Callithrix jacchus: one gene and its partners. The protein of the gene in region 4 interacts with the protein of the main gene of each other region in a pairwise test. Links are inferred from orthologs where the notes say so. Each region holds a gene or a part of one and is shown on either strand. Other genes may lie near its edges.

Evidence for each region.
Region 1: the proteins of FAM161A (region 4) and LZTS2 interact in binary tests that used the Homo sapiens proteins (3 or more experiments, as listed by UniProt). The two-hybrid records come from large-scale screens. The link is inferred for Callithrix jacchus from reciprocal best matches to the Homo sapiens genes FAM161A and LZTS2.
Region 2: the proteins of FAM161A (region 4) and CADPS interact in a two-hybrid assay, tested with the Homo sapiens proteins (2 studies listed by BioGRID). The two-hybrid records come from large-scale screens. The link is inferred for Callithrix jacchus from reciprocal best matches to the Homo sapiens genes FAM161A and CADPS.
Region 3: the proteins of FAM161A (region 4) and NUTM1 interact in binary tests that used the Homo sapiens proteins (3 or more experiments, as listed by UniProt). The two-hybrid records come from large-scale screens. The link is inferred for Callithrix jacchus from reciprocal best matches to the Homo sapiens genes FAM161A and NUTM1.
Region 5: the proteins of FAM161A (region 4) and CDR2 interact in binary tests that used the Homo sapiens proteins (3 or more experiments, as listed by UniProt). The two-hybrid records come from large-scale screens. The link is inferred for Callithrix jacchus from reciprocal best matches to the Homo sapiens genes FAM161A and CDR2.
Region 6: the proteins of FAM161A (region 4) and CCDC136 interact in binary tests that used the Homo sapiens proteins (3 or more experiments, as listed by UniProt). The two-hybrid records come from large-scale screens. The link is inferred for Callithrix jacchus from reciprocal best matches to the Homo sapiens genes FAM161A and CCDC136.
Region 7: the proteins of FAM161A (region 4) and MIPOL1 interact in binary tests that used the Homo sapiens proteins (3 or more experiments, as listed by UniProt). The two-hybrid records come from large-scale screens. The link is inferred for Callithrix jacchus from reciprocal best matches to the Homo sapiens genes FAM161A and MIPOL1.

The regions. Positions count from the first base shown.
Region 1 is NC_133513.1:93,952,708-93,956,691, forward strand, and holds the start of LZTS2 (leucine zipper putative tumor suppressor 2), read left to right. Parts: upstream 1-1,184; 5' UTR 1,185-1,345; intron 1,346-2,381; exon of another isoform or gene 2,382-2,513; intron 2,514-2,681; exon of another isoform or gene 2,682-3,043; intron 3,044-3,896; exon of another isoform or gene 3,897-3,984. UniProt on the Homo sapiens protein: Negative regulator of katanin-mediated microtubule severing and release from the centrosome. Required for central spindle formation and the completion of cytokinesis.
Region 2 is NC_133516.1:44,309,964-44,313,463, reverse strand, and holds part of CADPS (calcium-dependent secretion activator 1), read left to right. Parts: intron 1-1,069; coding exon 1,070-1,171; intron 1,172-2,661; coding exon 2,662-2,725; intron 2,726-3,123; coding exon 3,124-3,247; intron 3,248-3,500.
Region 3 is NC_133509.1:54,044,561-54,046,941, reverse strand, and holds part of NUTM1 (NUT family member 1), read right to left. Parts: intron 2,036-2,381; coding exon 1,899-2,035; intron 1,403-1,898; coding exon 1,113-1,402; intron 828-1,112; coding exon 711-827; intron 359-710; coding exon 1-358. UniProt on the Homo sapiens protein: Plays a role in the regulation of proliferation. Regulates TERT expression by modulating SP1 binding to TERT promoter binding sites.
Region 4 is NC_133515.1:52,292,843-52,296,342, forward strand, and holds part of FAM161A (protein FAM161A), read left to right. Parts: coding exon 1-604; intron 605-961; coding exon 962-1,129; intron 1,130-3,500. UniProt on the Homo sapiens protein: Involved in ciliogenesis.
Region 5 is NC_133513.1:22,965,431-22,969,423, reverse strand, and holds the start of CDR2 (cerebellar degeneration-related protein 2), read left to right. Parts: upstream 1-1,193; 5' UTR 1,194-1,497; coding exon 1,498-1,576; intron 1,577-3,993.
Region 6 is NC_133512.1:118,379,540-118,383,039, forward strand, and holds part of CCDC136 (coiled-coil domain-containing protein 136), read right to left. Parts: intron 3,419-3,500; coding exon 3,095-3,418; intron 1-3,094. UniProt on the Homo sapiens protein: May play a role in acrosome formation in spermatogenesis and in fertilization.
Region 7 is NC_133509.1:71,854,757-71,858,795, reverse strand, and holds the start of MIPOL1 (mirror-image polydactyly gene 1 protein), read right to left. Parts: upstream 2,801-4,039; 5' UTR 2,742-2,800; intron 1-2,741.

The DNA of each region.
Region 1 (3,984 bases), on a different chromosome or scaffold from region 4:
GAACTGGGAATAGAGGGATAGATACAGACTTGCCTGTTTGTCTTGCCCCACCCTTCTAGTATACACCCCCACACAGCACAAACCAGAATGATGGGGAGGGGAAGCCAATAACCCCCCAGCCCCACTGCCTGCACAGACACATTCTACTCCATGCCTGCCTTAAACACCCCATGTCATGATCAGGCCTAGTCTATTCAGATCCCTGGATTCTAGAAAGCAGTGCGGTGTCCCTAGGGCCTATGCAGATTTCCTGGGACAGGACTGGTCTGCCTACAGCCAACTGGATGGTAAGAATCTCCCTGACTCGCAGGTTCGGTGGATTGGGAAGAAAAAAACATTTCAAAAAAATCTCCCTGAGAATTCAGGAAAGGCCTGGCTGAGTCAGGTTCAGTTGCATCTGCAGCCCTGTCCTGTGATGGACAGTGTGTGTCATACTTGGCTGTGAGGGGTCAGCTTTGGTCCTCCAGCAGCTTATTCTCTGCAGTGGATGGATTTCAGAAGCCACAACTCACCGAGGTCTCCTGCAGCTCATATGGCCCAAGTACCTGTAGACCTACCCACATGCTGCCTTGAGTGACATGGTGGGAGGGAGCCCTTGGGGCCTCCTTGCAATACAGGCCAACTTCCTGTTTGTGCCTGTGGGTGGGACTTTATGAGTCTAAAAGAAGCCCAGCCATGCCCCCTGGGAGGTCAAAACCGGCAGGCCTGCTCACCTGGGCAGACACCTACTCCAGGGAGGGGGCTGTGCTGGTTCTGCTTGGGCGGCCCCAAGTGAGGTGTGTGCATGGTGGGGGTAGGTGGGAGCTGCTCTGGTGAAACTCAAGTCTTCTTTGTGTGCTTCCCAGGGGTTTTCCTTGTACTTGGGTATTGGGCCCAGAGTGGACTGGTTGGGCTCCCAACCGAGCAGGGGGGAGAGTGGCGGAGTCAGGCTCTATAGGCAGCTTAGTTAAGGCAGCCAGGTAGCAGAATTCTCGGTCACGTGATGATCGCCCCTTTTCCCCAGGTGGAAAACCAAGTCCGGTAAGCTGTGAAGTCAGAGGCCAGAGAGGCATCCTCCGCCACTGTCTAGCCACTGTTGGGCTGGGCACTGGGTCGGCTGTTGGTGGGGTGCGGGGCAGACCACTCCCCTCCCCGGGTGGGGGGCGCGGCCTGAGCCGCCCTGCCCCGCCCCGCTCTGCTCCACCAGGTCCTGCCAGGCGGGCGCCGGGAGCCGGGAGCCGGGAGCCCGGAGCCCGGAGCCCAGAGTTCGGAGCGAGCTAGGGAGCCGGCGTTGTCGCAGCGAGGAGGCGAGCGCGTTGGAGCAGGAGCGGCGCCGGAGCTGTAGCCGAGGCGCAGCTGGCGCTGGGTGAGTGGTGGGCGGCGGAGGTGCAGGAACTCCCGCCTCCTGCACATCCCCGCTCCAGAGCGAACTTTCCGCTTCTGGAGAAGCTGGGGGTGGGGATGAGGAGTGGGGTCGGGCGCAGGCGAAGAGTCAGAACAGGGAAGCGACACGGAAACGCATGCCAACGGGTCCCCACACACGCGTGCACAGACCCACGCCCGCACTTGGGACATGCGAATACACAAGCACTCGGAAAGGACGCGCCCAGTTGGCTACCCTTGCACTCCCAGGGACAGCGCCAGCCGGCGCGCGCGTACCCCCAGCGGCCAGGACACTCTGCGGTCGCGTATTGGGTGGGGGAAAGGGGCAGCCCCGTGCCCGCAATGGAGGCGGGCCGGGTGGGACGCACCCAGAGGTTCCTGCTTCCTGGCCGCCCGCAGGTGAAGACCAAGACGTAAACAGGCGTGGCGCACGTGATCGCTCCGCAGATCAGTGGCCAGTGCTCCCAACCCCACCACGGGGCGGGGACCCCAACCCCAGTCCCGGGCGCGTTTGCCTGGTCCCAGGCCGGACGGCGTTCCATTCTCCGCCTGGAGCCGGGATAAACCCTCTCCCAGGCACCGGAGCACAGCGCCCCCTGGAGCCGGGGCGGAGCAGGAGGGCCGGGCTGCTGGGCAGGGCCGGGGTAACTCGGGCTCCTGGACGTCCTTCTTCCCAGCACATTCTTGGTGTCTACATCCCGGAAAGTTTCGGAGACAGGCCCTTGATGACAGTGGACAGCTGCCCCCGCCTATTAACCCCAGCCCAGAGAGCAGCTGTCTGAGCGCCTGAGGGTCCCCTTCCTACCCTCACTTCCACTCTTTGTGGGATTCCGAGTCTCCTCCCCCGAGAAAATTCATGAGTGTAAACGCCCCCTCAATACTGGAGTGGGCCTACCCCCCTAGCAAAAGGAGGGCGAGCTCCTCCCCCCAGGGAATGAGGGAGTGGGCAGTAGCTTGATTCCTTTTCCCCGCCCCACCCCCCCACCCCTACACACACACGCTGAGCCCAGCTGCTGCCTGAGATGGGCAGGCTGCCAGAAAGAGGAGGAGGCTCTCTGTGCCCCAGGAGGCAGGGATCAGGGCAAGGCCAGAGGAGGGGGCTTTGCTGGGGAGAGGGGCTCAGTCTGTTCTTGTGAGGCTGAGGGTCTGGGGTGAGTCTGAGGGTGGCTGGGCTGTGTTTCCCTTTCCAGGGAAAAAGAAAGAAAAACAACCCTATCCATAGAGCTAAAAATAGAGCTGAGAGCGGGCCAGGGCTGTGGCCTGGAAGGGGGGGATGCTCCTTCCTGGGGCCCGGACGAGCTCTGGCAGGCCTTGGCCCTGGGGGGGAGGGAGTCCTTAGGGGAGAAAGGCTGTCTTTGCCCAGGGATGCAGGCATCAGCTGACCTGACCGGGTCACCGAGACCCTTAAGGGAAAGGCTGTGCTATAGGATATTTGTGAAGCACGGCGTGTGTGTAAGAAGTTGTCCGTGTGAGTGAATGTCAATAGAGGCTGTCAATGTGTGAAAGATGGCCAGGAGACTAAGTGCATTTGAGACTGTGACTGGGTGCGAAGGACTGCGAATTGTGGAAGCCTCTCCACAACAGGCCTGTGACACCGTGTCTGTGTGTGACATGGACTGGAAGATTATGGAAAGAAGGAACGCGGTCCCACGTGACAGCTGAGACTGCTTGTGGCTGCGTGGTGAGGCTGCCTATGGGAAAGGTCGTGTGGGTGTTAGGGACTGTGTTGTGCGCGAGAAGGTGAAAATGTCTGCGATCCTGAGAAAGTGGAATGTTGTTTGCCGTGAGGCTGGTGTAGGTTTGGGCTGTAGGCTGGAACCGGCTCGCCCAGTGATATTGGGGAGCCAGGACTGCCCCTCTCTGAGAAATGGCCTCTCTTTTTAAAAAGTGATCCCAAGGGGAGGCCGGCCTGGGTTCGCGGGGGAAAGGACACCGTGCCGGGGAGTGGGACAGGGCCAGTGTGGTGGGGGGAGGCTGAGTGTGTTCTTCGAGTCGGCCGCCAGGTGGCGCCGCCTCCGCGAAGCCCAGGTTGCCGCCTGCAACCCGCCGCGGGTGGGGCAGGCGCGGACCGAGCTTTGGCCACCGTCTCACGCTAGGGCGCGGGGCCCCCGGACCGGAGAGTGGGGGGCGGCCGGCCCTCGGCCTCCTGCTTGGGACCCTGAGGCTGAGAGCGTGTCAGGGAATTTTCGCCTGGAGAAGCCGAGGGGGAGGGGCGGCCGCCGCCGCCTCGCCGGGGCTCTTTGTGCTGTAACAATGACCAGCTGCCGCCGGCCCCCGGGCCCGGGCTGGGGCGGAGGGTGACCGCCGCCGCCGAGCCGAGCCAAGTCCCCGGACACGCAGTCACAGGGCGTCGGAAGGAGGGCTCCCGACTGCCGCCGAGCAGCCCCTACGTGCGCCCCGGCGGACTCGCGTGACGCGGGTGCCGGAGCGTGTCCGCGGCCCGGGGCGGGGACGGCCCTCGGACCCTCCCTTGCGCAGCGCCGCCCACTCGCACTGGGCGGGGGCTGGCCTGGGCCGGGGGGCGCCGCGGAGGCGGAGGCGGGGCCGGCCCGGGCCGCTCGGAGTGGCGGCGCGCGGGCCGGGATCGGGGCCGGAGCCGGGCGGCGCGCCTGTGGAGCGCTG
Region 2 (3,500 bases), on a different chromosome or scaffold from region 4:
CTGGATCCTTGAGAAGGCCTATAAATAAGACCATTTGTTTGGTCTCAAGATGACTTGCATTTGCAAACTGAAGAATGTTCCAATAGAAGTTTGATGGTGACACACCAATCTGCAAACTGGCTCAGCCAGTAGTCAAAACAAGTCACTATGAGATCTGGGAAGCTGAAGACTTTGAATGGGTCAGATTATCCTGCATCTAGTTTGAAACAGATAAATTGGAGCTATAAATATATAGCCTCCCTTTAGATTTTCAACTTGAATGATCCATAACAAATAGGGGATATATGTACACACCTAAGGCGACACAGAACCATGAGAATATGATGATCAAACTGAAATCACTTATTTAAACTGGAGTTCTTTTTATTACAATGAGTAATAGTTTACTAAAAATTGGAAAACATGGTTTGTTCTTCAATGAATACAAGATCACTTAAATAAATCCAAACATCTGTAGTTATAAGCAGGAAATCGAGCAATGTAAGATGTTTAACACTGGGAATGACAAACACTTACAAGGCATCTGATTTTCATAGGAATTTGTGTAAATAATTCAGGGATCCCAAAGCCAAGTGCCTATAAAAGAGATAGGTAATACAATTTAGGAATGTGGACCAGGTGAGTGCTTGCCCCAGATAAGGAAGAAGCTGTTAGCCAGCAATTAATAATGCCAGCTGTTTCATATTTTCAAGAAAAAAAAACAGAAATCAGAGTTGTATTCTAAAACTTCCCTGATTTTAAAAAAATGTTGCCAAGTAGTTCAAATTTCTTAAGAAGCTGTGAGCCAAACAGAACAAATTCAGGGGCTGTACTTAAGCAGCAAGCCACCAGTTTGCACATTTTACCATGTCACAAAAAGTGAGCTACAGCTCTGCATGTCTCCAAAATGATAACCCAAACACAACCCAGCTCTTTTGGAGGCCAGCCCTGAATAGCTGGGCTCCTCCTGAGGTCACATCTATCATTGTAGTTGTTCCTTCTAAAATAGACAGTTTCCTCCTGCTAGAGATTTGATTTGATGGTGTCAGCATATGAAGTTCCCGTCATTTCATGACATGTCTTCTTTCAGGCCTGACGGAATCGGAACTGTGACTGTTGAAGAAAAGGAGCGTTTCGAAGAAATCAAAGAGAGACTCCGAGTTCTGCTGGAAAATCAGATTACACATTTTAGGTAAGGATCTGGGGCTTGAGGGCTTTGATTAGGAGATGAGAGTGGAAAAAGATAGAGGGCTTAATGTTCCAAAACTGTAAATCTACCAGAGGATAAGTTGGATATTTGGAAATAACTGAGTAGAAGAAGCAAACCAATCAGCCTTGCTTCCGCAATAACCAGGAAAAGTTTGCATTCTTAAGTTTATGTTATTTCCACTTAAAGAACAAATCCTGCCATGTTCGAGCTGACCCTGGTCATCAATCTATTATAGAAAGTTGGATTTGAAGTTTCTTCAAAGTTCCTAAGTTAAAAAACAAAAATTCTTGCAAATCAGAACATAGTGAACAAGAAAGGAAGGCAGTGGTACTCCTAGGAGAGTCTTCGTTTTCTCCCCTACCTCAGAAACACGACTAGCTGGCTGCACAGGGAAAGAACGAACCTTGGATCCACCTGGGTGGATTGAAACTTCCCTGCATACTCGAAAGAGCCAGCAGATTCTGCACTTGAGCCTTACACCACATTGCCCACTTCTCCCTTGGAGCAAATTAGGTGTTTTTAATGCTGTCCTAGTGGTTCTGGACCAGAGATCCTGAAATAGAAACTGAAAAATAATACTAGCATTTCTAATGGTCCCTATTGATTAAATACTTCCTATATGCCAGATACACAACTGGAGGCTGGAGAAGTGTTAGCCCATGTCAGAACAGCTTTGTAAAGTAGTTATCATAATCCCCATTTAAACCAGGAATAAAACGAGACTAAGAGAGGTTAAGGAACTTGCCCAAAGCAAGCCAGCCAGCAAGTGGAAGTGGAATGCTTACATAAGATAGTCTGTGTTTAAGTATCCATGCTAGTCTCTCTGTCCCATGTGCAGTGTCCTGAAGGGCCAGTGACAACCTGAAACCAGTCACTGGAACTCATAGTGGTATCTGACATAGTTTTTTCTGTGCCATCAAAATCCTCCTGGATAAATCTTTATTGATCTTACATTATATGTAAAGTGCATTACCGGTAGCAGAAGATCCATAACAGTAGCAAACCGTAAGCAGGGAAGGACAGCTAGCAGAATCAATAATTTGCTCTAAATCCACTTTTCTATTCCATATATCAATCTTTTGGGGACTTATGTAAATGTATTTGAATTTGAGCCAATTCTAACTAATACTTTTTTAACGCCAGTCTCAATAATAACATATAAGGTCACATTTGAGCTAACGAATAGTTCTCCTTCACAATAGAAATCTAAACAGAGCCTTATGTCACCACTCTGAATATTCTTTTCTGCTACAGACATTTGCAGAGTCCCTCTTTAGTCATTATTCACACATACACATATATACATTATATACACACATATATGGTGTGAATTCAGATTAACATAACACAACGTGACAAAATAAAAAGCATTTTCCATTCCTCAGAGAGAGTTGCTATAGGAATCAAATTGCAGCATATTTCATGCTAAAATGTAATAATTTAGGCAACCTGAAGAATTTTGTCTTTTTTAGGTATTGCTTTCCATTTGGTCGACCTGAAGGTGCTTTGAAAGCTACTCTCTCACTCTTGGAAAGGGTAAGAATAAAAGTAAAAGATAGATCATGTATATATAAAGAGACATAAACATAATTGTAATGAAATGTTTTGGTTGAATGACCTAGTTGTAATTTTTATAGGATTTGTTTACCATTCAACAAATATCAGAATAGAAGGGAGGAAACTGCCAAAACTCATGATATTCTATCTTCAAACTCCCAAATAGGATATACTGAAGATATGTTCCTAGCCCTTCCCTGATTCATGGACAGCCTTTGCCAATGCTTTGCAGTTCTGGTGCTTTCTCTTTAAGCATGGCTCTCAATCTGTATTAAGTCACAAAGAACTGATTTTAAACTTGCACACTTCTAAGAAATGTGGATGAGTGACACGTTTGCTTGAACCTTCTTAATAATCCTTCTTTTTTCTACTCGAAGGTTTTGATGAAAGATATTGTTACCCCAGTGCCACAAGAGGAGGTAAAAACAGTCATCCGTAAATGTCTGGAACAGGCTGCGTTAGTCAACTATTCTCGGCTCTCAGAGTATGCCAAAATCGAAGGTAAGGCTCCCTTCTGCCCCCAGTTTTGAACTTAAATTGTGATATGCCTCCCTGGGGAAGTCTTTCTTTTTTCTGAAGGGCACCTGAAAACAGTGGTCTATCTGAGTATATTAAGCTGAAACCTGAAAGTACTTGAAATGTGGAAGCCTCCTTGGCTGTGGCCAAGTAAATGAATTAAAAGACATTACAGGGGCTCAGAAAACAGCCTTTGTAAGGGAACAATATTGAAAATAAGATGTTATCAGATAACTAA
Region 3 (2,381 bases), on a different chromosome or scaffold from region 4:
CTCTCCTCTCCATACCCAAGGATCCCAAAGTTCCCTGTGGAGCTGCAAGTTCTGGCTGCAGGTCCCAACTGCTGGGGGCTGGCAGAGTGTTCCCATTCCTGTGCATCTCTCTGGAGCTATCTAGGGATCTCTCCTGCCCACTATGCACTTCTCTTGCCTGTTTTCCTGAAGAAGAAACCTTTCCAAGGTAAACAGCACCCCCAGCTCCCCGAAGCCCAGGTAAGGGCCAAAACCGCCCACCCCCATCTTCATTCTCATCAGAAACAGAAGGACTTGACTCCAGCTGAGTTCCACTGTAACTTAGAGACGCCTCCACATCTTCCTCCTCTTCCAAGGCCAAGCGTCGCTTCTGGACCAGCTGGAAGAAAATGGACAAATAATCAGTTCTGCACATGGTTGTGAGAAGAGGTGACTGAATGAGTGGTAAGAGATGGTATTTGGGCAGGGCAAGGGAGGCAAGCAAGTAGTTTAAGCGATGGTAGCAAAGACAGATACTGCAGCTCTTTCCCACCTTCTTGTGCCTTATTCCCATGCTTTGAACCCTTACATTCTCATTTCCTGTGTTTCCAGAGCCCTCTACCCACTTGTTCTGCACCTAAAGCCCAATTCTGAAACTGTTCATCTCTAGAGCCATATTATCCATGACAGTGTAGGGTTAGATAACATCTTGCACGCTTCTTGTCCTGATATTCCCTATATCCCATTTTTACCTGGGCAAAAGTGAGTCCTTCTTCTTGCTCTAGCTCCTCAATTAAGGCCAAGGGATCTCTGTGTTTTTCTGGGGACAGCAGATCTGCCAAAAATTGAGGGTGAATGATGGCCTCCACCTGGAGAACAGAAGGAAAAGTGATATGAGCCCTTAAGCAGGTAACCTGTGAGGCAAGGGGCTGTAGAGAAGAAGCCATGAGCTCCCCAGCTGTCCCCTCTTACCTCTCCTGTATTGTTGTAAACTGACTACCACCAACTATACACATTCTCATGATGTATGCACACACATTTCTCAGTTACAGAATAAAACCTAATTCCTACTACCTTGGACAAACCCCAGAGCATTAGTTCCTGGGAGTATCCACAAGGATCTGCTAGAAACCAGATGTGCAGGCCCAGCTCACCTTGGAGACAAAGACCTTCTGAGAACACAGCTCGTTGATGTAGCTCAGAAGACCTGGATCTGGATACAGCCCTTCCTCCTCCTGCTGCTGCCCTTCTTCCTCTTTCTGTTTTCCATCTGACTCCCCAGTGGCCAAGTGAGTCCCCACCAGCTCTTCCATGATGTCAACATATTCCTGCACAGCTTCTGGTGGGATCTCCTCGGGTGCCTCAGGAACAGGAGGTCTCCGGGGTTTACGCTGACGCTGGCTGGGGGCCCGTGCCTTAGGGGCTGCCTTCTTCAGAGTGTACACTAAGGGAAAAGATAGTCAGGAGAATGGGAAGTGGCACAGAAACCACAGCTTCTGCCTCCCAGCTCTGTAAGGCCAGCAATCTGGGTACATTGAAGTGGTTCCAGGCTGGATTGGGCCAACCTGAAAAAGTACCAGTCATGGGAGATTTAGGACCTAGAGGTCTAAGAATCACTGTATGAGGAATTTTTGAACCCCTGAAATTCCAAGAAACCACCTGATCCAGCTTCCATTTAGGCAGATGAGGTATTATGTGCCTAATTTACAGTCTTGGTGAGAGTAGTTAGTCTACTTGACCAAGATCAATACCTATTTCAGAACAAAAGGAACCTGAGAACCCAGCCTCTTATGGGATGGTCTGTTTGGAACATCAAATGCCACTCTCCAGAGGGAAAGTGGCAGAGCCCGGGCCATGCCTTCTCTAATCTGTGAGTGGCTTCTGTACACCACCCTTTGAGCCTTTGGCCCATGGCTCCTGTCAAAATTGAGTAGCCTCACCTGGTTGCTGGCAAACCTCCGAGGCCAGGAGCTCTGGAGGATCAAGTTTCAAAGGGGTTGCAGAAGACAGGCCCTGAGACCCTCTCATCAACTGTGTGTTCTGAATCTGCATCTCCTCAGCCTCAAACTCCATGAACCTACAGAGGGTGAGAAAGGTGTAGGCAATGCTAAGGAGGAGACCAGACCCATCAGAAACCCAGGTGACAGCCAAGCATGGCTAAGAAAGGACGTGTCTCAATTGGGCAAAGTCTGCCTAAGTCATGTCACCCAGGAGGGTGCTCACAGGTGACTTAATCACAGCTCTAGGGAAACCTTGGGAGCTCAGCACATAGTTCCTTTCCCTATAGTCATCACTTAGGAAGCTTAAGAAAATGAATGGCCAGGTTGGGTGGCTCATACCTATAAACCCAACACTTTGGGAGGCTGAGGTGGGTAGATTGCTTGAGCTCAAGAATTCGAGACCAACCTGGGCAAAATGGCAAA
Region 4 (3,500 bases):
TTATAGCAAGGGAGGAACAGAAGCGAGCAGCCCAGGAAAAGCAGCTGAGAGACTTTTTTAAGTCTAAAAAGAAAACAAATCGATTTAAAGCCAGACCCATTCCTCAATCTACTTATGGTTCAGCTACCAAGGGCAAGTTAAAAGAAGAAGAGCTCTATCGAAACCTTAGGACGCAGCTGAGAGCCCAGGAGCATTTACAGAACTCATCTTCTCTGCCTTCTAGGTCAGCTTGCGGATGCAGGAATCCCAGGTGTCCTGAACAGGCTGTAAAGTTGAAATGTAAACACAAGGCTAGGTGCCGGACTCCTGATTTTGAGGCCCTTCCTGAGAGATACCAGAAACACCTCTCAGAACATGAGTCTCCAAAACTCTTAACCGTGTGTAAACCATTTGATCTTCATGCATCTCCACATGCATCTACTAAAAGAGAAAAAATTTTGGCAGACATCAAAGCAGATGAAGAAAATTTAAAAGAAACACGTTGGCCTTATTTGTCTCCAAGGCATAAGTCACCAGTAAGATGTACAGGTGTAAAGCCTGTGCCTTATACCTGCAACCCTCCAGTGCCCACGGTATCTTCCAGAAAACGAGAACAAGCCATAAGGTAAGTAACTAAGACACAGTACTGAATGACTCATGTTGCCAGATGAGTGTATGCAGCTCTATGGAATTTATGTTTGTGAATTTGAAAATACATAGAAATTATTATTGTATCTATAATATATTTTATTATATAATATAGGATATATAATCAGAGGGTATTCTAAGAATTGAATGTATTTTTCATTTTATAAATTTTGGGGGCTTAGAAAATATTAATCTTAAGATTTCTAGTTTTACAAATCAGATCCTTTTCAAAAGGTTGCCTTTTTTCCAATTTTGAATTATCCCATGTTAAATCTTTGCTAAACAACATTCTGATTGGCTTCAAGTGGATTAAGCCTTAGTTTGTTACCCTCAGGAGATCACTTGAGGAAAAGAAAATATTGGAAGAAGAGAGAAATCGGATCCTAACTAAACAGAAGCAAAGAATGAAAGAATTGCAGAAACTCCTGACAACCCGGGCTAAGGCTTATGACTCACATCAAAGTTTAGCTCAGATATCTAAATGCAAAGTAAAATATCTCAGGTATCATGAAAAAATCTTGAACCTCCAGACCACTGGTTTTCAAACTTACTTTCTTTTTTTTTTTTTTAATCAGTAGATAGCAAAATATGAGCAGATTGAAAATGGCATTTGTGTTTCAGTTTATGGATTTAAATTGTCATCAGTTACTTACGTTTAGCACACACACACTCACTTTGTGGTGAGAACCAACATATATACTCAGCTTCATGGTGAGAACCGTGAAGCTATGTTGATGAATAAAAACATCATCTATTGTGGCCTTGGTTAATAGCTATAATTTTATACCAGCATCTGATCTTGTTCTTTATATTATTTTTGATTATTTTTGATTGCAGTAAACAGATATATCAAAGAGCTTTGTTCTAAGGTTTGCATGAAGTCTTGATAGCACAAATTAACACATTGATGTTAAAATCTATTATGTGATGTGTTCATCAGCACATATGTTAATGTTTAGTAGCATTTTGTTAGTTTCAATATAAAAATAAAGGTATTTGAGGAATGATCCAAGATGGCCGATCGATAACAGCTCGGGATTGCAGCTCTCAGTCAAAGAGCAGAGAACTAGAGGACGCCACCCTTTCAGACAAATTCTGGTCGCTCACAGAGCAGAAGATCCCCAGTGGAGGAACCACACGGGTTGCCAGTGCGACTCTTGTGGCCGGCGCAGCGGTTTTGCCGGCACCTCGGCGCGGCAGCTCTCGGAGCAGAGTAAACAAGGCTGGCTCCCCTTCTGACCGAGGCTTGAAGGACCCACACGAGCCGCCAGCGCGACTCTTGTGGCCGGCGCAGCGGCTTCGCCAGCACCTTGGCGCGGCAGCTCTCGGAGCAGTGTAAACAGGGCCAGCTCCCCTTCTGACCGAGGTTTGGAGGACCCACATGGGTCCCCAGCACGACTCCTGAGACCGGTGCAGCGGCTGTGACGGCACCTCAGTGTGGCAGCTCTCGGCGCAGAGTAAACGAGACTGGTTCCCCTTCTGACCAAGGTTTGGAGCCCTGGGAAGGCAGAGTCACCCATTACGGACACAAGAAGGAAGCCAGACAAGAGAATCCTGGGCAGAAAAGCACCATCAGTCTTAACGCTGCTGTTCTGGCCCTGGGAACTAACAACTTGGACGTCCAATCAAGAGACCTAATCTGAAAGTTGGTAATTTCAAAGACGACAGGAGGATAAATTTACAATGATGGGAAGAAACCAGCGTAAAAAGGCTGAGACTACTCAAAATCAGAACGCCTCTCCCTCTAAAGATGATCACAGTTCCACATCAACAATGGAACAAGGCTTGATGGAGAACGAGCGCATCCCAATGACAGAATCACTCTTCAAGGAATGGATAATAAGAAACTTCTGTGAGTTAAAAGAACATGTTGTAGCCCAACGTAAAGAAACTAGGAACTTTGAAAAAAGGTTTGATGAAATCCTATTGCGAATAGACAACTTAGAGAGGAATATAAGTGAATTAATGGAACTGAAGAATACAATACAGGAACTCCGAGAAGTATGCACAGGTTTAAACACTCGAATTGTTCAAGCAGAAGAACGGATAACAGAGGTCAAAGTCCAACTTAATGAAAGAAAACAAGAAGACAAGATTAGAGATAAAAGGATAAAAAGGAATGAGCAAAGTCTCCAAGAAATGTGGGACTATGTGAAAAGACCAAATTTACGTTTGATAGGTGTACCTGAATGCGACAGAGAGAATGAATCCAAGCTGGAAAATACCCTTCAGGAGATTATTCAGGAAAATTTTCCTGAACTAGCAAAGCAGGTCAATATTCAACCCCAGGTAATACAGAGAACACCACAAAGATATTCCTCAAGAAGAGCAACCCCAAGGCACATAATCGTTAGATTCACCAGGGTTGAAACGAAGGAGAAAATACTAAGGGCAGCCAGAGAGAAAGGTCAGGTTACCCACAGAGGCAAGCCTATCAGACTTACAGCAGATCTCTCAGCAGAAACTCTACAAGCCAGAAGAGAGTAGGGGCCAATATTCAACATCCTCAAAGAACAGAACCTTCAGCCCAGAATTTCATATCCAGCCAAACTAAGCTTCACAACTGAAGGAAAAATCAAATCTTTTATGAACAAGCAAGTACTCAGAGATTTTATTACCACCAGGCCTGTTTTACAAAAGCTTCTGAAAGAGGCATTACACACAGAAAGAAACAACCAGTATTAGCCTTACTAAAATATACCAAAAAGTAAAGAGCACCAACATAAAGAAGAATTTTCATCAATGAATGGATAAAACAGCCAGTTAACATCAAATGGCAGTAACCCTAAATTTAAATCTGTCCCGACCCGCGGGACGAGCAACGGAGACCCTAGGGAGGGAGTAGGGATTGAGAGAGAGACAGGAGACGCGAA
Region 5 (3,993 bases), on a different chromosome or scaffold from region 4:
CAGTTCTGGCAGCTCTCTCCATATTTGTGGAAACGATTTGTTGGATTATCAATGTAAGGTATTATCTGCCGACTCACTGCTAAAATAGATCAGGATTTAACTAACACTCCTCTCCACTTCTAACAATTATTACCTTATGTTCTAATCTTTGAATTATATACTTAAACCTCGATTTTTTTGTTGTTGTTTTGTTGCTCAAACTTAGCAAGATACTGGTTCTGCTGTCTTCCATCGGCTGCACCTTTGCCTTTACTTCAAGGTTGAGAACATTGACCTTCAGGTCTGTCATCCTGCTTAAGAGTTTCCGTGCTTTGTCTGCAAGATGGTGCTAAAAGCTTAACCCACGAGCAGTATTTGCTGGGTTTTGTCGGTGGAGGACAGACAGCGTGCTCTGCCTCGCTGGCTACCAAGTGCTGGGGCTGCAGCCTGTCCCCTCCAGGTGCAATGTCATGTCCCCAGATGCTTAACTTGTGGTCTACGGGTACCTTTTAAAACTCGTATGCAACACTGCTTGCAATTTTTTCCTTCCAAGTGGACTGCTTCGGGCATCCCTCCCCGCCCCAAATTCTCAAGGGGGTCTGGCACCCACCGTTTTAGGGAGCGTCAGAACAATTCCCAGGGCTCAGATATCAAGGAGACAAAAGCTACCGCTCAATGGGCGTTTTCTTAGCCCTAAACTCCCGATCGACCCCGAGTCTCCCCGCCAGATTCGGAGCAAATCTGAGTCAAGATGCGAGAGGGGCGAGCGGGCGGCGGACCAAGCGCTTCTGGCACCCTTGCGCCTCCCGCCGGCACGAAGGACTTCCCTGGACAACCGCTCAACTCTCAGAGGTCGGAATTCTAGACCCTCAGGCCCTCGTTGCCTATCCACGGACGCGCCGGCCTCGGGACACCCACCGCAGGGGTAGGACGCGGCGCGGCGGGCTCCACAGCCCAGACCCCAGAACACGCTCCTAGGAGCCGCACCGCGCAGATCAGGGGGCGGGCTTTCGGCCGCACCCCTTCACTCTTTCCCCGCCTTCTTTGTTTATTCCGGGCCCGACATTGGCTGCATGCCCTCGAGACCGGGCGAGCCGCGCGCCTTTGGAGAGACGCGATTGGGCGAAGTCGCTGCCGCTCGGCCAGCGGCCCGCTCCCGATTGGTTGAGGAGCCGCCGGGGGTTTGAATCGCATCCCCAGCCGGGGAGGGTTCTGCCAAAGTGCCACGTTGGGCCCGGCGGCGGCGTGAGGAGCCGGCTCGGGGCCCTCGCGTCGGAACGCCCAGCCGTTGGGGCCGTTGGGGCCGTTGGGTGGCGCGACGCGAGTCAAGGAGGCGGCCGGTCGGTAGCGGCCGCCGGCGGGAGCAGGGCTGAGGCGGAGTGGCGGAGCCTGGGCGGCGGCGCGTCCCACCCGAGGGCGGCTCTGGCTGAGGGCGGAGGGACCGGGGGAGAGCCCGGGGCAGCGGCTGAGGTGGGACGGCGGCGGTGGGAGCCGCTGCCCCCGGAGGACCCAGCGGAGATGCTGGCGGAAAACCTGGTGGAGGAGTTTGAGATGAAGGAGGACGAACCGTGGTACGACCACCAGGACCTCCAGCAAGGTGAGGGCGGGGGCGCCCCTCGGGCGGGCGGGTGGCGGCCTGGCCCAGGAGGCTCCCGATGCGGAACTGTTAAAAAGTTGCTTTCTCTGGCGGTGGAGGATGCAGGTGCCGGGAAGGGCTCGGGCGCACCTGGCGGCGGGGCCGGCGGTGCCTGCGGATCCCGCCCGCAGGAAGCCTCGGCGCGGGGCCCACGGCCCTGCAAATACGCAGTTCAATATCGGCCCCAGGGCGCGTGGGGGCCAGCGGCGCGCCAGGCACCGTTTTAAGCGCTTTCCCTGGATTAACTGGTTTAATCTTCGCTGCATTCCTCCAAGACAGACCCGGGTGAACCAGGTGCCCCGCAGTAAGTGGCCGAACCCGGGAAGCCGCCCCCTCGCAGCCTGTCGACCCCAGCGCCTTTCATGGCCAGCGCGGAGGGCCGGCCGCTGCAGGTGGTGGTGGTTTTGCGCCTAGCGGGAGCTGTGTGCTCCGCACGTAACGGAACTCCAGGAAGCAGTAACTTTTCAAAAATTTATTTTTTAATGTTTGAGGGTACATAATAGGTGTATATATTTATGGGGTACATGAGATGTTTGGATACAGGCTCACATTGTGAAATAAGCACATGATGGGAAACGGGGAGTCCATCCCCTCCAGCATTTATCCGTTGAGATACTAACAAACCAATTACACTGAAAGTAACTTTTGTTACCCCATTTTCCAGATGGGAAAGGGGAGGCTCAAATGGTTAAGTCGCTTGCCTAAAGCTAAGTGTGGAGGGAGTGTTTTTTGAACCACACACTCGGAATTGTAGTCACTGCTCAAACCCCATCTCTTCTTTTCCATCCTAGTTTACAGCTTTTTTCAATTGGGCGTTAAGCTGTTAGACATAGTTCACCAGATGCCAATTGAAACGGCAGAAGAGCCCTTCTACCTCTGTCACTTCAGTTTGCATGCCAGCTTTCACTTAGAAACAGGCCTGCCGGTGGTGTCTCCAGAGAACAATCGTAGAGCGGCCCGCACTTTGGGACCAGTGGGCCCCCCTTTTTTTCATACTAATAGGAGCTAGCAGTTGGGAAACACTTTTTATGTGCCTAACACTGATAAGCCCATAACACAGTTGCTCATTTAATTCTCCTGGTAACACAATAGAGGTAGTAATGTTGGGGAGTGCTAGGGTTCCCCTTAAGACTCCAGAACATTCTTAACCACTGTGCTGAATACTGAATAATCCTCAAGAATTTTTCCAGGCATCTTCAGTTTCTGTAATTTTGTGTAAATGCTTTCACTAATCTTGCAGTGAAAATTAACATCTCATTTAGTTGAATATTAAATGATCATGATGCTTGTTCATGCTAACCGAACGTGGCAGAAGAAAAGAATCTAGACTTGAATAATTCAGAAAAGGATAATAAGCACCTCTTTTGGAGGAAGATAATTTCTTAAATTAACGTGCAATCACTTTAACCAAAGTAATTCACCTTATTATGCCTATAGACTCCAAGCTACTTAGTGGTTGCCGTGCAGTGTTCGGCACCATCTTCTTTAGGTCAAAAAGACAAATCTGTCATACATTTTAACAAACCTGTTTTCAGATTTCCCCATAAGGATTGATGGCCTAGTTTGATAGTTTCTCCAGGATTTATGAGGCAACCACTGTGCCATTGCAATATTTCCCTATAATTTAAGCAATCTGTATCATCATAACTAAATATTTTTCTTTCTTGTATTTAAGAAGCATAAATCTTTAAGGGAATAGAGGGGGTAGGTTCCTTTTTCAGGTTATTTCCAGCATCTAGCATAATACTTGTTACATACTGGAAGCCCAATTTTAATATTTGTTGAACTGAACTAAAGCACTCACACAAAATTGTTTTCCATGGCTCTCTTCCATCAGGTACCTTACTCCACGCTGCATTCTCCCGCTGTGGGAGATTGTTAGGAACAACTAGCTGTAACACTTCAGTCTACTGAGAAGCAAGTGCAAGGTGTCAGGGTTGCAGGTGGAATTCTCTTTAACCTCTGATCAAAATAAAGTCATTAGCTCTTCAAGTTTAACAAACCTTAAAAACACAGGTCTGGGCTGGGTAGAGTGGCTCACACCTGTGATCCCTGCACTTTGAGAGGCCGAGGCAGGCGGATCACCTGAGGTTGGGAGTTCGAGACCAGCCTGGTCAACATGGTAAAACTCCGTCTCTACTAAAAATACAAAATGAGCTGGGCGTGGTGGCGGGCGCCTGCAGTCCTAGCTGCTCTGGAGGCTAGGCAGGAGAATCGTTTGAACCTGGGAGGCAGAGATTGCAGTGAGCGGAGATGGCACCCTTGCACTCCAGCCTGGACAAGAAGAATGAAACTATGTCTCAAAAAAACAACACATAGGTCTGAACCTCTTTACTGCCAGTTGCATTTCTGTGTTTTTCAAAGGGCTGTTACATTTT
Region 6 (3,500 bases), on a different chromosome or scaffold from region 4:
CCACATGTGACTGCCAGTACCTGTCTTTCAGGCATTCTGAGTTTATTTTATGTCCTTTATTCCCACACCAAATACACTGGTCAGGATGTGGTAAAGAATTCTTGCCAGTCGTAGTGGCTCACACCTGTAATCCCAGCACTTTGGGAGGCTGAGGTGGGCACATCACTTGAAGTCAGGAGTTTGAGACCAGCCTGGCCAACATGGCAAAACCCCATCTCTACTAACTACAAAAATTAGCCAGGCATGGTGGTGGGCGCCTGTAGTCCCAGCTACTCGGGAGGCTGAGGTAGAAGAATCACTTGAACCCGGGAGGTGGACGTTATAGCGAGCCAAGATTGCACCACTGCACTCCAGCCTGGGAGACAGAGTGAGATTCTGTCTCAAAAAAATTAAAAATAAAAAAAAGAATTCTTTCTAAATGGCATTTTATCTGCTGACAGAAAAGCCCATCCTCATCCTCAAGCATTAGAAGAGATCTAGTTGACATACCCCAGCACACGTCTCTAAGCACCAGTCACCTATACCTATACTTTTTGTTTTTTGGTTTTGTTTTGTTTTGAGATAGTCTCACTCTGTCATCCAGGCTGGAGTGCAGTGGCACAGTCATGGCTCACTGCAGCCTTGACTTGCCTGGACTCAGGTGATCCTCCTACCTCAGCCTCCTGAGTACCTACGACTATAACACACACCGCCAAGCCTGGGTATTTTTTGAATTTTTCTGTAGAGATGGGGTTTTGCCATATTGCCCAGACTGGTCTCAAATTCCTGGGCTCAAGTAATCTGCCTGCCTTGGCCTCCCAAAGTGCCGGGAGTACAGGCAGGAGCCACCATGCCCACCCACCAATACTTTTTAAGGCTGTAATGATACAAACACCTGTATCTGTTTTGTTTCTTCATGATGAAGAATTATGTTGGCTGGGTGCAGTGGCTTACACCTGTGATCCCAACATTTTGGAAGTCCAAGGTAGGAAGATCATTAGAGCCCAGGAGTTCAAGACCAGCCTGGGAAACAGAGCGAGACTCGGTGTCCATTTGCAAATAATTAAAAAAGAATTATGTCTCTTAGAACACTAATTCTACTGATATTTAAAGAGCACTAACTTGTTCTAAGTAGAACCCACGACCTATCTTACCTGCTGGAAGATTCAACAGCCTAAAAGTGACTTCTAATGTTTCCTGTTAATTCTAATCAGAATTCCTTAGAATACTACAGATTACCATAGAGGGAAGGAAGGAAACTAATCTTTAATGAAAACTAACGCATTAGACTTGATAGTTTCAGCCTCGTATTCAATAAGTGTGCAAGTGATTTCAACATGCTTCACATTCATTTAATTCCCACAATAGCTCTGTAAGTTTTTTTTTTTAAATAAACTTTAAATTTTAGAATAGTTTTAGATTTACAAAAAATCTGCAAAGATAGTACAGAGTTTCCTGGGAGAGTTCTCACCCAGTTTCCGGAATTGTTAACATCTTACATTACCATGGTATACCTGTCATGCCGAAGGAATCAAATATTGATGCATTACTATGAACTAAACTCCATATTTGACTAAGATTTCTTTACATTTTCCCTAAGGTCCTTTTCCTGTTTCAGGATCCCCTCTAGCTATAAGGTTTTATTGACCGGGTGCAGTGGCTCACGCCTGTAATCCCAGCTCTTAGGGAGGCAGAGGCAGGAGGACAGCTTGAGCCCAGGAGTTTGAGACCTGCCTGGGCAATATAGCAAGACCCCATTCTCCACAAAAAGGAAAAAGAAAAAAAGGTTTTATTAACCAATTTCGATTTCATATCCCAGATATAGAAACAAGCTCAGAGAAAGACCATAACCAGACTACCCATGTTCATCCTGCTAATTAGTGGAACTGAGATTCTGAACTCAAGTCTGTTTGACTCCAGCCCAAGCCTTCCCACTGTGCCAGCCTTCCTCTCCCAGCACCATTTAGTCTAAAGGCTCTTCTGAGAGGTTTGGTCCAGCTGGAAAAACTTGCAGTTCTTTGATTCCTTGTTGATTGCCTCTGCTTGACCTGGCCAAATATAGGACCTCCATTATACTCAGATCATAAATCTAGCCTCAGAATAAAGGCAAACTCTCTGATGTCATGAATCCTAGCAACTAGCTGGGAGACTCACTGTCTGAAAGCAGGGCTCTAGGCTTTTAGGTATCTCATGTATCACTAGCAATAACTTTTCTTCTCTGGCTGTCTTGTCCTCTGATTTGTTGTCCCCCTAAAGCTTCTATTTTGGGGTGAGCTAAAGGAGTCTAAGAATTAGCATCCCTGCACCTGGAAGCAGGGCCAGAGGCCCCCCACAAAGCAGTCCAGGCAAAGCGCCATGATGCCAGGGCAGCAGGAAGAGTTTCCCAAGGTGACAGGTCCCTCTTTGCCCATCCTAGAGCTGGAAATTTTCCCAGGAAGGGGTTTCCCATAGTCAAATCAACAAAGACCCAATGACTCTGAAGAATTCCCAGGGTACTTCTCCATGGTGCTATTTCTTACACCACCATGGACCAGTTATGTAACATCTGGGTAGGTTTTCCCCCCTTTATTTAAAATTTTCTTTTAGGAAGAGATAGGGTCTCACTTGGTTGCCCAGGCTTGTTATGAATGCCTGGGCTCCAGTGATCCTCCCATCTTGGCCTCCTAAAGTTCTAGGATTACAGGCATGAGCCACCATGCCTGGCCCTTTTACAGTCTTCAATTCAACCTGGAGGTTCTTATTGTTTTGTTTGTTTGTTTGTGAGACAGAGTCTCGCTCTGTTGCCAGGCTGGAGTTCAGTGGCATGATCTTGGCTCACTGCAACATCTGCCTCCCGGGTTCAAGCAATTCTCCTGCTTCAGCCTCCCAAGTAGCTGGGACTACAGATGCATGCCACTATGCCCAGCTAATTTTTTGTATTTTTAGTAGAGATGGGGTTTTACCATGTTAGCCAGGATGGTCTCAATCTCCTGACCTTGTGATCCATCACCCCCAAACCTGGAGGTTTTTTCTAGAGGTTCCCAATTTATGATCTAACACCACTTTCTACCATTTTCCTACATATTTTCTCCTTTCCTCTGCTTGACTTTACTGAAAGACTTGACTGCTCTCATACCTTGCAACCCAGAGAAATCTGAGAGACTTAAACTATTGGATGTTTCAGAGCTCTTCATTTCCATCTCTGCACGGAGGGAGGCAATCTCCATCTCGTAATCTCCCCGAATGCGTTCCATGTCTTCAAGTTCATTCTGCAGCCGGCAGAGATCCTCCTGAAGGGACGCTATGTCACTCTCATGTTCAGTTGCAGAATCCTCCGCTGCTTGCCGCAAATTCTGGATCTCAGCCTGGGCCAAATGTAGTTCCTGTTCTATTTCCTTAAGTTCACTTTCTTTCTCATGCTCTAACAGGGAAATCTCCTCCCGCAGAGAACGCAGCTCACCTGCAAAGCCCAAAGGTTGAGATGGTGAAGAGGGCAGGTGAACTAATATATACCATATTCTAGAGGTATGAAATTAAAGGGA
Region 7 (4,039 bases), on a different chromosome or scaffold from region 4:
AACCCAATCTCCATAAAAAATACAAAAATTACCCCTGGCGTGGTGGTGTGTGCCTGTAACTCCAGCTACTTGGGAAGCTGCGGGCTGAGGTGAAAGGATTGCTTCAGTCCAGGAGCAATCCAGAGGCTGCAGTGAACCAAGATCACCCCATTGCACTCCAGTCTGGGTTACAGAGGTAAACCCTGTCTCAAAAAAAAAAAAAAAAAAAAAATATATATATATATATATATATATATATATATAGAGAGAGAGAGAGAGAGAGAGGTATAGACAGATAGATAGATATATTACTATGGATCTATACTTCTCCAACATAGCCCATCTGTTACTGATTGCACATGCAATCAATTGGCAAAAGACTGAACAAATATTTTTCAATAGAGCAGGGGTTAGTACATTATGGCCCACAACACAAATCCAGCCAGTGGACTGTGTCAAAAAAAAAAAAAAAAACTAACTGGAAAGCCATTAGGTTAAGACAGCTCCAGCACTTTGGGTTCCTATGTAAACAAACCAAAACCCAACTCAATATAAACAGTAAAACTAACTTGAGTTGAACCAGTCAGAAACCACCAACCAACTTCTAACTAGAGACATTCCACTGTAACCAATCAAATATGTTCTTTGTCTGTTTCCATAAACACCTTATAAAAGTTTTTCCCTCACACCCTCTTGGTGGAGTCTTGAACCACTTGTGGTCTGGTGATACCCAATTTATGAAATTGCTGAATGCTCATATAAACTCTAAAATTTTAATGTGTTTAAAGTTATCTTTTAACAACTGTTTTTGTATAACCCACGTGCTAAGAATGGTTTTTACATTTTTAAAGGGTTGGGGAAAAAGAAAAGAGGAAAAAAAGAGAAATGAATATGGAACAGAGACTGTACAGCCTGTACAACCTAAAATACAGGTAATCCAAGCTTCACACATTACTTGGTTAACTGAAACTCTACAAAGCAAGGGCTGCCTACATTTACTGTCTGTTCCCTTACAGAAATAGAGGATATCCAAATGCCAGTAAACACATGAATATGTGTTCAATACCATTAATCATTAAGGAATTTAGGCAAAAATCCCAATGTTATGTCACTATATGCCTACTAGAATGGCTAAAATGAAAAAGACAATGTGAAATGTTGAAGCATTTGGAAAAAACAGAATTCCCAGCCTGCCACCAAAGTGTAAATTGACACAATGTAAATAACTTTTTGGTAGTGTATACCACAAACACACATCTGCATATCCTGTAACACAGTAATTTTACTAGTAGGCATATATGCAATAAAAATGTATACATAATTTCATCAAAATATTTATAAAAAGCTTCATAGCAGCCCTATTGGTAATAGCCAAAACTAGGTGGAATACTATACATACAGCATGAGAATAAACTGAAACATAACTTGAATAAATCTTATAAACATAATATTGAGTAAAAATCAGACACAGAGGACTAAATACCATATTACTCCATTTATGTAAAGCAAATAATAGGTGAAATTCATTGATAATGTTAGAAGTCCAGATAACGATTATCTTTGGAACTATGAAGTGGGGCTTTTGGAATGCAATGATGCTCTTTCTTGATCTAGATACTGGATATGTGGATATATATACTTTGTGAAAATTCACTGAGCTGTACACTTATGATTCATGCATTTATCTATATGTCTTTATACTTTAAATATTAATGCAACATAAATATTTCTATAAACTCTAGGCCTTTGAAGGAAAATTGTATACATCTCCCATTCATTTTGCTGATTGCCATCATTATCTCCCATCAATGAAATGTCTTGATTCCTATTACCTTATATTAAAAAGTCAGCTTTGTTTTAATTAATTTTATTGGCATATGATTGCATAGAATGATTATGTAATCATTTTCGATTAATTCCATAACAGATCACAAGGAAAAGCTTTGAAAAGCCAATAATTTGTAATAGTATATTCAAATTATCTGGGGAAAAAAACCTCCTTGAAGTGTAGTTTTGTTTGGCCCTTTGTTTTGGCTTATCTCTGTCTACTACTACTGTGATTTAACCTACATAAAATGCTCAAAGAAGCTTTTCCAAATGTCTGTGCTTGTGGAAAGTTGTTTCTTTCTACCATCCTTGACTAATAATGCGCTGTCTTGTACCCTTCAGTTCCCTCCATCCATCGAGCTTAAAATGCTTCCCAAATGTTGCACTGGGCCCAGGGACATTGTGAACCAAAAAAAAAAAAAAAAAAAAAAAAACCTAACAGTATCTTTTTACAGCGTGGCTCAGCGCGCCTAAAGAAGCACCTCATTCTTCGCTCACACTTCCAAGTGTGAAAACTGAAATATAAAACGATTAAGTGATTCTCTCAAGGACACAGAGTCGATCAGAGGTTGAACGAGGACTGGAAGCTTCTGACTAACCGCGACTTAAGAGGGAAAAAAAGAAACAAAAAACAAAAACAAAAAACATACACCCCTGAAAGAATGCTCAGCTGCTCAGCTCCAGTATTAGGAAACTGGAGACAAAACCGAAATCATACCCAGAAAGAGTTGTCTGCCACCTGAGGACCCCACCACACTGACCCTCGAGGGCCCCTCCTCACTCCCGGCCGCGCGGGGTCAGCATTCACCGAGTACAGACTCTGCGCTGCCCCATTTCCTTCTCCAAGGAAAGGTCTGCGGTCGAAAACTCCAGGGCTGATCTATACCCACCACTATCACTCTCCGTCGCCCAAACCGCCCTGCCCCACCGTTTACCTGAGATGCGCCCGGCGTCGCCTGAGGAGTCGACTCTGCGAGCTCGCCCAGAGTTTCTCAGGCCCAGTGCGCAGCCACCACGTCAGCCAATCGCCGCAGGCTCGGAGCCTCCCGGCCCCAGGCCCACCCACAAATGACCGGGCAGGGGTGCGGGGCGGGGCCCGGAGCTGGAGGGAGAGTGGGAGCCGGTTGCCGGCGGCACGGGAGGGCCTACGGTGCGGCGCGCTGCAACACTGGGTGCAGATGGCGCGCACCGGGCATGCGCATGCCGCGCCGCCTGGCCGCGAGGTGGCTTCTCCAGGCGAAAGAGAGCCTGGGAAGGGCAGGGAAGAGTTTGGAGAGAAAGTAGGCGGACTTAAAACGCCGCCGTGGCTGCCCTAAACGGGTCGCTTATTGTTGTCCAGATCCCGACGAGGAGCACAAAACGTCCTTTCTCTTCCGAAAGAGCAAAACGTTATCTGGACAAAACCTAATCTGATAAGAAGGGGGAGAACGGAAAACTGAAAACGGCGTCTTGTGGCTTCACACTTGGCCTCGCCGAGTTTTCTTAGGACCTGGCGAAATTTTGGTTTCCTTCTTTGTGTGTGGGTTGGGATGAGAGGTGGGAGGGGCGTGTTTCGAAGCGGCGGTCAAGTGAAAAGGGCAAGGGATCGAGCTCCGGTTGAGTGAGCGATAGTACTACCTAGGTCCTGGCCAAAGAACGTTTCATACTAAAACCTTGGAGCTGGTGACTTTTTTTTTTTTTTTCTTGACTGAAGTGCTGGAAGGAGATCTGGATTATGTACGATATGTGAATCATCTAAGAAAAAATCTTGAACCTTCCAGAATTTAACAAATTCCAAAGTTTGTTCCATAGTTCAGAATTGCTTTTATAAATGTCACTTTAACTCCTGTTACTCATAATTTCTTCAGACACCAAATACTTAGTGAGCACATACTATGTGCCAGGTACTCTTCTAAGTGCTGAATAATGAACAATATTTTTTAATACACCCCAGAGAGTAGGCATAATATGAAGTACTGACGGGTTCCTAAATTGGTGTTTAAGTTAATGAAAGGAACTTATCCTTTAGTAAGTGTACAAAAGAGAGTTTAAAAAAACTAAGAAAGGCCAGGCGCCATGGCTCACGCCTGTAGTCCCAAAAGACTGAGGCTTGAGCCCAGGAGTTTGAGACCAGCCTGGACAACATAGTGAGACCTTTACTTTATTAAAAATCAAAAAAATTAGCTGGGTATGATGGTGCATACCCGTAGTCCTAGCTACTAGGGAGGCTGAGGTGGGAAAATCACTTGAGCCC